3 linked regions of the Drosophila melanogaster genome follow. The protein of the gene in region 3 interacts with the protein of the main gene of each other region in a pairwise test. Each region holds a gene or a part of one and is shown on either strand. Other genes may lie near its edges.

Region 1 (3,145 bases), on a different chromosome or scaffold from region 3:
CTGCGTAAACATTTGTAAATTTGCTCTTTTTCAGGTGTATACACGGTGCAAACAAAACTCGACTGAACGGCTAAAAAATGGTCATAAAATAGCATTTGACAAATGACGCACTTCCTGTCAACGCACACAATCACAAACGCATACAATCACACACGCACACATTTATCCCTTATCGGTAACTTGTAAAAAGAGGTCGAAACAATTGCATTGCTTTTAAACATGAATCTGCTCACATAGTTACACAGTTTAACAATATAATAATTCATTGTTTGAATTTATTTATGAGCGCAGCTCAAATATTTAATATGCACAAACGGCAGTTTGTTTAAATGTAATTTAGTGGAATAATTAAACAAATGCGGATTTTATTCAAAACTATTTAGTTGCTGTCCGATTGACTAACCTTTTTGTAAACGAGATCCTATTAAAATTTAACAAGTAATCATAAAATACATTTTCTTACAGTTCTTACGCCAGCCATCCAATTTGTTAGCTCACTAACTTTGCAGCGAAATTATAAAAAAGGCTTTAATTGCATAATTAAATTTATTGGCTGTACAATTTTCCATAAGGTAATTTTATCAGTTTTGCAGAGAATAATTGCAAAATTAAATGAGCTAATTAAACCATTTCCAAGTGGAATAAAAAGGCTCATTTACTTTGCAATTGGATCAGTTTTAGCAACCCAGACTTAAATCCGTTTTCAACAGATACTCGACGCGACGTTTTTCCTTAGGAGGCAGTTGAAAGAATTTTGAGACAAAGTTATTCAGTTCCCTCTTTGTATGCAGTGGGGGCCACATTGTTTTATAGCACAGGATTCTAGAAAAGCCACGAAAGTCCCGGTTAATTTATGTTATCATTTCTAACTTTTAGCTTACTTCTTCAGGAAAAACTGGTCGCAGATATTGCGTTGATTGGCAATAATGTGCTCCATTTCGTGAAGGAACTGCCTATCATATTTCGCTTTGGAGTCCAGATACCGCACATAGCAATTAAGATCGCTGGAAATAATGGTGTGTCAGGAAACCTAAGTAACTCAGCAAGTTCTTTCTTAACTGACTACTGAAAGTGCTTTATATCGTAGCTGGGATGCAAACTGGCATCGGCCTCGTCGTGGAACTTGATCCTTGGCTCATACCACTCGTCGAGCTCCTGGAGACGATGGAACTCATATCGGGAAGCAAGTCCTGACAAGGAAACCAACGAAGTGGTCTTCGTCCTAGTCAGGAATTCCTCCACTTTCTTAGCCTTCTCCTGGGCCTTGGCCACAAACTTCGCGTTGAGGCGGTGAACTGGTACATTTTTACCCCGCAGGACATCTCCCGCTGAGGGGATCGACTTAATGGTTACAAGGCTCGTCGCGGACATGTTGAAAATTTGATACTGCTCTTGGGAAACTGGAGATTTTTGAGATATATTAAATGGCTTATTTATGCGGTGACTACTTTGATTCGACAATTAACGCTTTAATAAATACGCCACATAGTTGTCACCGTCAACAACATCTGAGTCCTTGGGGAATTATTGTTTTAAGCCGCTGGTGTTTATAAATATACATGGAAACAGCCGAGAACATCATGAGGATTCATCAGACGATATATGGAAAGGGGTCAGGCTGCTGTATTTTATTTACACGGCCATTCACATTGGCATTTCAAAAATCATTCATTAATTTTTTAATTCAACAATCAGGCTGGTTCAAAGTGGCGTGGAATAAAAACCAAAAAAGGAATCTCTGTAATAATATCACATGCAATTATTGCAGGCAATATGCATGCAATTATGCTAAAGGATATCCATTGTAAAAAAAACTTTGCAAGTGAGCCCGAAATAGAGTTGCGAACTCGAAAGTTCTCAATGCGATTGGATAGCCTTTGTAATTATGATGTCCCTAAAAAAATGAAAAACTAACAGGGCCCTGTTCGAACTTTCATTGACTTATTTGTACCCTTAATAATGGTCCCTCCTAATAATCTATGAGGAGTAGTGCGACTGCTAATCTACCCACATTTGCACCCATTATCCAGGTGTGGTCGAAAATTATTCTCAAAAAGATTCCACACATTTTCGCGCCATTAAACATGCATTCGCGCATTTAATTTCATTTTTTGAACCGCCCGAGTTGACGGAACAGAGCCATCAGCCGGACCACAAGAGTGGCCCACTGAAGGGGGAATAGGAGCTGCCGCCGACAGGAGAGTTGGCCAATGTTTGCACAGCAAAAACATGGCCCAAAACGCTGGGTCTATTAAGAGCACATTTGACCAAAGTCGGGGCTCCGGCACGTGTGCAATGAAAACAAACGAGCCCATTATTGTTACACTTTTCTTTGGCAACCGGCCGCAGAGACCATTAATGATGTGTTATGGCCTCAAGAGGCCGGCCTAGCCGATCCTTGAACTTTGGCCAGGCAGAGCCTGTGAATTGAACTCTAATTGCAGATAATGAATTGCTCGCATTAGGTCAACGAACAGTCGTCCGGATTGCCGCAAAGTGCCTAATGGAAATGCAATGAACTATTTATGGGCATAAGTAGCCAGCAATTGGCTGACTGAAGTTTGATCACGCACTGGGATTATTAATGCCGAGACAGGTCGACTTCCCTTTAAAGTGCTCATCTCATCAATTTGTGGATGTTTTCCCTTGGCCTTTTGGCCAACCGTCATTTTGGTCGCCACAAAATTGACAGCAGCTTTCCCACAGCGCGTAATGACAAAACAGTGACTAAAATGTTAACAACAAATCCAATTTATTTCACCGACCGGCCTACGAGGGACATTAATTACCAGATGGATCACGTATAAGGTATTAAATGCAAACTCAATCTGCCAATGGGGAAATGGCCAAATAACAGAGTGGTTGGTCAAATCTGGGCACACAAACTAACACAATCTGCTACTAATTCCCACAAACTGCATTTAAAGATAGCGGATTTCATTTAATAGAATGTGTTCACCGCCATTGATAATATTAATATAAATATAAATATAAACGTCATTCAGAAAAAGCGTTAAACAATAAACAATAAACATTGACAATGGTCGATGGTCAACGAGAGTGTAAACAACAAGATTTACTGCCATATGCTAGGGGATTACGGGTGTAATTGTACGCCACTTCGAAATGACATTGAACCAGACAT
Region 2 (4,870 bases), on a different chromosome or scaffold from region 3:
ACTTCTTCTTGGTCTTCTTCTTCTCAGGTTTTACCTCCTCCTCTTCGGATGAGGAGGGTTCCGAACTCGATGCTGAGTCCACTTCGGAAGTGGGCCTTTCAGGTGGCACTTCTGGTACCTTGAATTGGCTTTGAGCTGCAGGTTCTGTAGTAGCCGCTGCAGTGGAGCTCGTAGAATGATGTTCCGAGTAGCCCTCTGGCTCCTGCATGCCCACGCAGTAGGAGTTCTTGATGAAGGACTTGCAGCACTTGTAACCCCAGCGTCCGGCGTTCCAGAAACTGCCCCAAACTGTTGTGTGATTGTTGATATACACATCCTCCTCGTAGATACTGCGCGCTTTCGGTTTCTCCACGCCCTTGATAACCTTGCCGCTGCGAGAGTACTCGATGTACTCCTCGGTCTGCGCCAGCAATAGCGACTTTGGTGGAACCTGTAGATGCTCTTCGCCACCATATTTCTCCACAATGTGTGTTTTGGTCTGGAAAAATAAAGGAAATGGATATAGTAATGTTTCCAAGAAATTTCCATTTTCAATTACTTACACTTGACTTGAACTGTTCCTTCTTCTGCTCGTACTCCTTCTGAAGCAGCTCCAACTTAGTGGGCTCCGCTAGCAGATGCACATCAACCCCCTTGCCATGAGCTTCCCAGGCAAACAACTGGGCGGTGGCTTGGGCTGTAGTGTCTCCAGAAAAGCGTACAAAGTTCTCGCCAGCAAACTCAGCTCTGCAAGAATGAGTAGTTAAGAAATTTCTTTATATGTGCAACTTTTTGTTACTCACTCCTCTTCGGGGACAGCAGGATTGGGATTGTCACGCATGGAGCGCGTCTTGGGATCATAGTAGGCCGAGTTGGGATCCAAGTTCCTCAGGTACTTCGCCGTATCCTCGCGGATACGCAAGTTGCGCACTGTAATTCGCTGTTTGGAGTCCACTTTTGTGCCGGGCATGTCCACTTCGTCCACATATTTGTCCTCGTTGCCTTCCTCATCGGATATTTCAGCATCGGGATCTAAGGGGTACATGCGAATGATATTAATTCAACTATAAGCACTCTGAATTCACTTTTACCTACCATTTTTCAGCTTCTCTGCTTTAAGTTGTCGCTTGGCCTCTTCCACCTTTTCGTACTCCTCAATGATCTCTCTGTGATTGGCCGGATCGTAACTACTCCAGCGATCTCGTTTCTCGTCATAGTTCACCGCCGCTTCATTGACCAAATGCTCGTCGTGCACGACGATGGATTCAGCGTACTTGGCTTGGACTTTCCGCGGCCGCTCCAGGCAGTCCTTTCGTTTGTGTGTGACGGCGCCACAGTTCTCGCAGGCTCCCTTGCGGAACTTGGTAATGATGCGTGCGGTGTTAAGTCCTTTGGGCGCCCTCTTGTCCAGCTGTCCTTGCTCGTCCTCGTGCTGCGGTCGCTGATGCTTGAGAGTGGGCCCAGCCGATCCGTAATACCATGGTGCATTCGATATGTACTGCGGAATGTGGGGATTTATGTCGCGACCCTCCTCGTCGACGGCGGCCGGAGCTGTTCCCGCTTTTCGAGCCTCCTCCAGCTCCTTGGCCTTGCGCCAGTCCTCACGGGACTTCTTCTTGGGTTCCTCCTCGGCATCCTGGTCGTGCTTGCTCAGAATGATCTGCGAGACCGGCGTGCGCATGGGCCCCGAGCTCATATTGCCTGATTTTATTTACTAGATAATATTAGTTGTAATATTTATTTCTCTTTTATGTTATCGGTTATCGAAAAGTGTTGGCAAGCAGAGAAGCACTTGGCTTAACAGCGAAAGTGTTGGACAATCTGTAGCACCCCCACGATATGTATCGCCCACCTTGGCACATCGCTAACGTTTTTCCAATAAGAATTGGAGTGAAGTGAACATTTTTATCAATAGTAATACGCGAAACAGTTTTAAAGCCAATAAGAAAACTACCCAGCAATGCAACGGAAAATGGTGGACACTGTGATTTTGTGAAACTGTTCGAATTCGTTGGAAAACCAAGGAAATTGCCTGGGAAAACCAATAAATTTATAACGCTGTGCAAACGGGTGCGTTTAACTGTGTGCGTGCGTGTGTGTATAAGCGCATACATATGTCGAGCGTGTGTGTGTGTGTGCTCTAGTGTGAAGGCATCCTTAATTTTTTCGCACACATAGCTGAACACTTTTTCTCTGATATACAAGTTCCTGCGCGCGCATATGAATTATTTTATTCTTTTTGTTTCATTGTTGATTGCAATATTTTCTGCCTATTTGGTGTCGTGCATACCCATTTCACATAAACATTGTAAGGAAGCGTTTCAATAACTTTTCATTTGAAACGTTAAACATTTTCTATATACCAACAGTAGAGAGAGCAAGAAAATAAGAGAGTGGTATATGTATATAAAATCCATCGATGGGACTTTCTAAATATTACTCCGTGTGTGGTGCTTGATTGTGAAGCGAAAAATGTCAGCGAAACGTGTATCTCATAGCCAAGCGGAGTGGTTAGCATACAATTTAAAAAACAATGAAATATAATATTTGAACTACGAACATAGTGCGCATTTCGTATGTTTACCAACACTGCGTTCGTTAGTGTCAAGCTGACAGGTGGACAGTACGGCAACTCTGCCAGCTGGAAGACCTTCGTTTTCACCAATTAGAAAATTACAAATTTTCCAATTGGACGGGTTAGTTTAGTTAATTGAGCGCACTTATTGGCGTTTCGTCAGGTGTTTCCAATTGGAGTGGGCGTGAGACGCGCGTGTATTGGTGGGTGGCAGAAGTGCAAGTGAGAGGCATCATTAGAAATTCTTGTTGTTCTCTCTTTGTTGTTTAATCTGTGGAAAAAAGCTGACTGCGTGTGTATGTGTGTGTGAAAGTGTGAGTATATTTGCCATACATGAACACAAAGAATTTGCATAAAAAAGTGAGCAAGCAATGGCAATATACATATGTAATCAAAGCTAAACGACACTGAAAGTACCCAAGATTGTGTGCGAAGAAAAAGGGCAACTAAGTATGTACTTGTTCCCACCAAATTGCCAATTAGAAAACGCGTTATATCCCAATTGGATGCGCATTAGACTAGTGGCGAGACTAGTGTACACTAAACAACAATCTGTGGAATTGCGAAATAAACAAAGTTGCACTCCTTGGAATGATTTATACGCTAGAAATATTACCATAGCAGATGATGGTCGCGCACTATTTTCGACTTTTGTTCCACGGACTGTTGTCGTTTGAGCGATTGCCTAATGTACACACACAAACGGGCTGAAACACAGTGGCAGCCAAAATAGTAGTGTTGAATAGTAAAAGATGAAAAGAATTGATATTTTTGTAAGCTACAGATTTTCGTTTTGCAAAAATGAATGTACATTTTTTTCTGTGAATCATGAATCCTTTCAATTAAACCCAGAATAAGTCAGTAACATACTGAATCATAGTAGCGAAATTATTAATATTATTATCTGAATATACATCACATTTGAATTTTTTTAATAAATGCTATATAATAGTTAATACGCATCGTTAAGGAAATAAATAAATATATATGGTGCAAATTCCTTTAACATGTCATTACTATTTTGACCGCTACTGTGGGCGTAGATATGTGTGTGCACAAATTCCATCGATGCGAGGCTTAATCGACCTTGGGAGTGAATCGAGTATACCGCATACGCCATTCACGAGTGTCAATGACCTACGCCAACATTGGCCCACAGCGAAAGATGCGAATGGCAGTCAGGCGATTGATTAACCCATCCCGAATTGCTCTTCCTCCGATTGCAGATCAGGATCATCAGCCAGCCGCACACCACCACAAGCCGAGTGGTCCACCGCTGCTCCCCAAACAGACACGCAAGGACATCGCACGGAGGACCGAGGAGCAGCCGGATCACGAACAGGATCACGACCAGCAATAGGATCTAGTGCAGCCGAACGGGACATTCACCGATCGCACGACCATGTTCACGGGCAAGCTGCAGATCAAGGTGTGCGAGGCGAGTGGCCTGCGGCCCACAGACTTCCAGAAGCGCCACAATCTCACCTTCGGCAAACTGGCCGACGAGCAGCTCATCGACCCCTATGTCTCCATAGATGTCGACGAGAGTCACTTCGGTGAGTGTCCTCCCACTTCGATTTCAGCTCAAATATTCAAATATGGTTGGGAAACAAAAGTCAGTTAGATAGTTACAAATGTTAGTTACCTAGCTAAAGTGTTGCATACTTAAATGGGATTTGGCAGCTAACTTTATTTATTATTTCATTATCTGGTTATTTTGTTACGCACAGATCGAGCCACCACGCGGCCAAAGACATTCGATCCTGTTTGGAACGAGCAGTTCGTCCACGACGTGACCAATGTGAGCAACATCAACTTGACCGTCTTTCATGATGCTGCTCTGCCGCCGGATGACTTTGTGGCCAACTGCATCATCTCCTTCGAGGACCTCATGCAGAGCGAGACGGCTGTGCAGGATCTATGGGTGGGTTTCGAACATATAGTAGCTAAATCTCTAGGAATACTTATACTTACTTTTACTTCTTGAAACCTCTCAGGTTAACTTGGAGCCGCAAGGCAAGATTCACGTCATCATTGAGCTAAAGAATCGCACGGGTACGTAGCGAAATAAAGATTTGAACAATGTTCAGCGAATGCTGATCAATTCCATCTGATTTCAGATAAAGCCAAAGCCGAGGCCGTGGTGGAGCACACCGTGGCCGTCAACAAGGAGTTCAAAGAGCGCGCCGGATTCAACCGACGTCGCGGTGCCATGCGTCGTCGGGTCCATCAGGTTGGTGCCCATTTAACCAGTTGAGAATGAGCGTAACTAATATGTTTCCTTTGCTTGAAACCAGGTGAATGGGCACAAGTTCA
Region 3 (5,985 bases):
TCTGCCCCGTTTTGACAGTTTATTTCACAGGATATTTGTGCCACCGAATGCCGGATGGAATTTTGCTAAATTGTTGCATGTTTGCCGGATTGCGAGACAGTGGCATGTGGCAAAGCTTGTCTGAATATATTGGAATCTCATCGGAAAAGCGCACTAACACGAGCGGAGGGAGGTATTCTCCGAAAAGGGGATGAGCGCAGTTGAATGGAGCTCTAAGCATGTTAAGTTTAAAAGGGGTGCGAATCCAAAACTCGTGCTGAATTGTTTCAGTTTATAAAGCAATGCAGATTACTCTTTCTGAAGCCTACATAAAGAATTTTACCTTCATGTTTTATAGCATCGATAAGAAAATTTAAATAAATATCATAAAAATAAACAAACAATTCAAGTGAGAAATAAACAAATAATCTGCTTTCTTTATCACTAAAAAAATTTCTAAAAACTTCATCTGATTTCCAAAATTTTCTTGAAAATTATTCCACATCGATTGCTAGTGCTGAAAATATTTGAGAAGGGTAGCCGTAAGCTTTTGACTTGCAATTTTCAAAGACATTGTGTTTACTTAGTATATTTTTATGATTTTAATGAATGTGATTCGTTTCGTTAGATTTATCATAATCCGTACAATAAACATAATACATAATAGTTATCTCCCCTGCACTAAATACAAAGTTATACGTGCTGTTGAATACAGATTATTTATATGGTATATATATCTTTTTCGACTGGTATTGCCTTACTTCCAGAAAAATATATCATTTCGTTGGACCAAATATAAACACAAAAAACGAAAACTCGTAAGGGTATACTTGATATTAATTTGGCTTCTTTCGTTATTTTAAAGGATAGTCGACATATTTGGTTCACTGACAATTGCTCTTCTCAAAATGTACATAGCAGAGATTTGACAACTTCCGTTTCTCGGCAAGTTGGCCAAAACTAACATACTCGATGACATCCTTTTGTCAGAATGAAGACAAAGCTTAAAGTTGCTCGGGCAATTCAAAGCGAACCAAGTGAAGGTCTCTGTTTTAGTGCAGCGGTCTTACCGCTGCTGCTGGTAGATAGGAATGTTGTTCTTGACAGCATCGTTCTGCATGTGATAGCCGGGCGCCCCAACTGGCGGTCCGCCAGCCATGGACATGGCGGCCATCTGCTGATGCAGCTGACTAAACTGATCGTGTGGTGGTGGGTGTTGTTGCTGCTGCTGCTGTGGGGACATGTAGCTCTGCGGGTTGACGACGGCCGGCGATCCGTTCGGTCCATAAAGATTTGGTCCTGGCTGGTATCCCTGTGGTGGCGGTGCCTGCTGATGCTGCGGCGACATGTAAGCGTGCGGAGCCGGTGGCTGCTGCGGCTGCTGGATTTGTGTGACTGCGGGCGGAACTTGGGCGTACTGTGACTGGGGGTCGATGTGGTAGCTGTTCTGGGGATGCTGTGGGGGCTGCTGGCCTTGCTGCTGTGGCGGCTGTTGAGGGTGCTGTGGAAGTGGCTGCTGCTGCTGTTGGGTGGTCACGGGAGTCGGCTGAGTGTAGATTGGCTGGGGCATGGGTGCAGTGCCAGTGGGTTGAGTCAAATGGGCTGGCAGCGCTGGAAAGACGATTGAAAATGTTATTATAGGTAAATATAATAAGTATTTTAATCCTTTGTACTAACAGTTCATCTGTGCGGCATGTCCGTTCTGATAGGGCAGTGGCACCTGCCCCTGCGGTTGACCCAGATAGCCACCAGGAGCTCCAGGTGCCTGAGATGGAGCAGAAGTGGGAGGATTTGGTACGGGGCCATATGGCATCGAGTGCATGCCCGGATAATTTTGGGCCGGTGGGAATCCACCCGCTGCAGGATAACCTGGAGCACCGTACAGAGCGGCACCCGGGAAACCAGCAAGTCCAGGCATAAAGCCGCCAGCAGCGGCGGCAAAATGTCCAGCCGCAGCACGGTCATCCCGCATCAAGGTATGGTACAGATTAATGGCGTCGACGAGGTCGCTGGACAACTGCGTCAGTTGAGCGTGCTTGCGGTCGACGCGTTCCAGCTCGGCATCGATCAGCGGTCCCATCTGATGGACCTCCTGCTCCAGCTGCAGCATTTCGTCGCTGTCCTGCGAGGGATCTTCGGGATTCGCCTCGTGCAGCAAATGCAGCAGCCGGTCGATCTTTGACTCGTCGATCTCCACAGGCTGAGCTGCGGCGGCAGCTGCTGCCGCTTCAGTCTTTTGCTGCAGTGCCGCAGCGGAATCCAACTCTCGTTGCCCGGCTGCGGCGGCCGACTTATGCTGCTGATTGATGTCCAGCCGCTCGGGATCGACGGACAGATCGGCAGTGACAAAGTTCGAGGGGAAGAGACCCTCGCCGCGTTGATTGTATCCCTTCCACCAGTTTGGATCACTATCATCCAGCACATGAATGATCTCGCCGGCAAAGAAGGTCAATTCGTTTTCCTCGGCAGCTTCGAAATCGTACAGAGCTCGAACCTTTCTCGGCTCTGGCGCTGGTGCGGAACTGGCTTCGGCGCTCGGTGCACTCGAGCCGGTTCCAGCGAAAGATGGATACAATGAGGGATAGGCACTGGCGGTGCCGGTACTTGCTACACTCCCAGTCTTTGGACTGCCCTTGTTCTCCTTCAGCGACAATTCGATGGCCTTGGCGATGTCATCCTCTTCCTGCTGGCTGCTGACCACATTCGGATCTTTGGGCAGGGCGGCGGCCTTTTCGGCAACAGTCTTGCTAGTCTTATCGCCAAGATTCTTGAAATCATATCCCTCTTGGCGCAGCTTGGCATAGAGTGCGGGTATCAAGTCGAGCTCTCGATCGTTCTTATAGTCGTTTTCAGCCCAGTTCTTCAGCACTTGGCGCATTTTCTGTGAATCATAATTGGAATTAGAAATGAAATAAGTGAGTTAAAACTGTTTGTACTCACCAGTGAAACCTTTGGCTGTGCTTTGGCCAACAGGCGGCGGAACTCCGTCTCGAAATCCCGTGAAGCCACCTCCAAATGGAGCGGTTTTCCGCAGTTGTTGGACAGGGCGTCCAAAAGCGTAATCGCCTGCATCACCACATGAGGATCGGTGTGGCCCATGCGGCGCATCACCGCCTTCAGGCAATCCTTGGCCAGGCGGGGATTGGTCGTTACCTTGTCGCATACATCCAAAATCAGAGACCAGTTGTCGTTGGTATTAGTTTCGCTGGTGGCCTTTTCTATAAAACAAGAAAGGCATGAACCGCATTAGCTTATCAGTCAAATAGAAATTTATATTCTGAGTCACAGCAAAACAAAGATAAGCTTCTTCGAAAACTGATTGCAGCTAAAGAAAATCAATACAATCGGAAACTAACTAAATTGCATTAAGGGATGGCGAGGGGGTTGGCTGCGTAAACGGAGGGGGTGTGAGGGGCTGCGGGTGCTACGTCACTCAAGGTCAGCGACTGCCATCTAACAACTCCAATAAGAAGTTCAACGAACGACGCAGAGCTGCGCACAGCATCTCACATGACTTTCTTTGTTGTCTGCTCAATCGGGGGATCGGGTTCATAGGGAAAACAGGGGAAAATGGTGTGGTGTGCGGGTTTTTAGACCCCAGATAAGAATAGAAAACTATGAAACGCATATTGGACCGTTGTGCAGTCCAATTGGAACATCGGCTTGTCCAATCGGCCAACACAACAGCTTAACGATAAGTGGTAACTCACCCACGTCGGCGTCGAATGGCGACGACTGCCCAAAGATTCCCATCTTTATGACCAAACCGCTCGCTCGGCTATCTGCCAATAATCTGCGCTGCCCTGGGGTCAATAAATCCAAATCAGTTGATCTTTGTCTGTTTTCCCTATTGTTTTTCCTCTCCAATCGATTTTCGGTGCGTCACGGCGACTGAAAGCACGCTTTTGGTGTACTTCCTCCTGCGTAGACCTTTTCGCTTTTTTCCAAATCTCTTTTGGGCTGCTTATATCTTTTCGATTAGCCTAAAAACTTCCGAATAGCGCTTGCAAATTCGCTTAATTTACGTTTATTGTGTAAAAAATGACTAATGGCGAGTGTGGCCAGATTGCGAATAGTCGGGAAATCCAAAGGATTTTTTGCAGCTCATTTTCAATGGTTAGTTAGAGGTATTCGAGACTTATATTATGCAAAACATTTTTATTTATATATACATATAAATATTATTGATATTGTATATTTAAATAAATTTAGACAACTAATAATATAAATCTATTAAACATCTGATATGATTTGAGCACTGGTAGCTATGGTTTATAATAATTAAACAGTTTTCTATGCCCTTCACTCAAACTATTCTCCTACGGGTGAGAAGCGTATATTATAATAACTATGCACAATATAAGAACAAAACTAGAAGATTAATTTTTATTTAAGAAACATGAAAATATTTTATTATACGTTGACCGAATTTAAAAATACAGTGACTTAACTGCTTCACTGAGAGTCACAGAATAACTCGATTCTAGCATGCGGTCACACTAATCTCAGCATTCGAAAAAAACGCGCAAACAAAAGGGACGCTTATAGAAAATACAACTTAAAATAATTAATTTACTTAAAAATCATAATATTATAAACAAGTCAGCGCCATGACGCTTTCCCGCGCGAAGCACGCCAACCGCAACCACCTGCCGCACCTGCTGGCCAAGGTGCCCGAGGAGCACCAGGAGCCGATCAAGAATATGTGCCTCAAGATGATGTCCCACGACGCATACGGACAGCCGTACGTACAAGCAATAAGCTAATGTATCAATCCGTACTTAATCTGCTCCCTCCAGATACGATTGGAGTCCCCGGGACTTTGAGATGGGCGCCCACTTGGGACGCGGCAAATTTGGACGTGTCTACTTGGCGCGGGAGCGCCACTCGCACTATCTGGTGGCCATGAAGGTGATGTTCAAAGAGGAGCTGCGCAAGGGCTGCGTGCAGCGTCAGGTTCTACGCGAGATCGAGATCCAGTCGCGACTGAAGCACCCGCACATCCTGCGCCTGCTCACTTGGTTCCACGACGAGAGCCGCATCTATCTGGCCCTGGAAATTGCGTCCGAGGGCGAGCTGTTCAAGCACCTGCGTGGCGCACCCAATCATCGATTCGATGAACCGCGGTCTGCGAAGTACACCTACCAAGTGGCGAATGCCCTCAACTACTGTCACCTGAACAACGTGATCCATCGGGATCTGAAGCCGGAGAACATTCTGCTAACCAGCACGGACGACCTTAAGCTGGCCGACTTTGGTTGGTCGGCGCACACGCCGAACAACAAGCGCAGGACTCTGTGCGGCACCCTGGACTATCTGCCGCCGGAGATGGTGGATGGGAACTCCTACGACGACTCGGTGGACCAGTGGTGCCTGGGCATTCTGTGCTACGAGTTCGTCGTCGGCTGTCCGCCCTTCGAGTCGAACAGCACGGAGAGCACCTACAGCAAGATCCGGCGCATGGAGATCTCCTACCCATCGCATTTGTCCAAGGGCTGCAAGGAATTGATTGGCGGGGTGAGTTGGAAGATGTTTCCTTTGAGATCCATTTATTGAACAGGGATTTCATCTTTGCAGCTGCTTCGCAAGGAAAGCAAGGGCCGCATCACCTTGGTGGATGTGATGACCCATTATTGGGTGAAGGCGGGAATGGCCGAAAGGGAGCTGCAGCTGCAGAAACGGGAGCGCGGCAAGGAGAACACGGCCAGAAATTGACTGGTTTCGAGTTTGCATTGTGTAACGACTTATTTCAGATTTTACTTTTATGTTTAATAAACGGTTTATAAGATTTAATGAAGTTTGGAGTATATTTTTGAAATCTGAAAACTGCTTAAAAATAAAAATCTATTGGTAGTAACTTACTTAAATTACCTTTTTCTAATTTAACCCCTTTTAAATTAATTTTTCTAAGCCCATGCCTTACTTAGTTCCAGTTCGTGGGCCATGCTATATTTTCGCGCTTCCCGCAAACGGTCACCCTAAATAAATAAATGACAATTTCAAGCG

Evidence for each region.
Region 1: the proteins of Stam (region 3) and CG11286 interact in a two-hybrid assay, tested with the Drosophila melanogaster proteins (one large-scale study listed by BioGRID).
Region 2: the proteins of Stam (region 3) and Pkc98E interact in a two-hybrid assay, tested with the Drosophila melanogaster proteins (one large-scale study listed by BioGRID).

Annotation. Positions count from the first base shown.
Region 1 is NT_033777.3:7,770,330-7,773,474, forward strand, and holds CG11286 (uncharacterized protein), read right to left. Parts: upstream 1,428-3,145; 5' UTR 1,372-1,427; coding exon 1,064-1,371; coding exon of another isoform or gene 1,063-1,063; exon of another isoform or gene 1,005-1,062; coding exon 882-1,004; intron 823-881; coding exon 678-822; 3' UTR 531-677; downstream 1-530.
Region 2 is NT_033777.3:29,037,316-29,042,185, forward strand, and holds the start of Pkc98E (protein C kinase 98E), read left to right. Parts: upstream 1-1,840; 5' UTR 1,841-2,049; intron 2,050-2,514; exon of another isoform or gene 2,515-2,757; intron 2,758-3,780; 5' UTR 3,781-3,956; coding exon 3,957-4,110; intron 4,111-4,284; coding exon 4,285-4,478; intron 4,479-4,551; coding exon 4,552-4,609; intron 4,610-4,674; coding exon 4,675-4,787; intron 4,788-4,851; coding exon 4,852-4,870. Other genes in the region: Slu7, read right to left, coding at 1-478, 543-726, 783-1,011, 1,075-1,675. UniProt on the Drosophila melanogaster protein: PKC is activated by diacylglycerol which in turn phosphorylates a range of cellular proteins. PKC also serves as the receptor for phorbol esters, a class of tumor promoters.
Region 3 is NT_033779.5:10,856,582-10,862,566, reverse strand, and holds Stam (signal transducing adaptor molecule), read right to left. Parts: upstream 4,032-5,985; 5' UTR 3,733-4,031; coding exon 3,690-3,732; intron 3,198-3,689; coding exon 2,920-3,197; intron 2,861-2,919; coding exon 1,657-2,860; intron 1,591-1,656; coding exon 1,046-1,590; 3' UTR 561-1,045; downstream 1-560. Other genes in the region: aurB (aurora B), read left to right, coding at 4,590-4,723, 4,779-5,496, 5,557-5,694.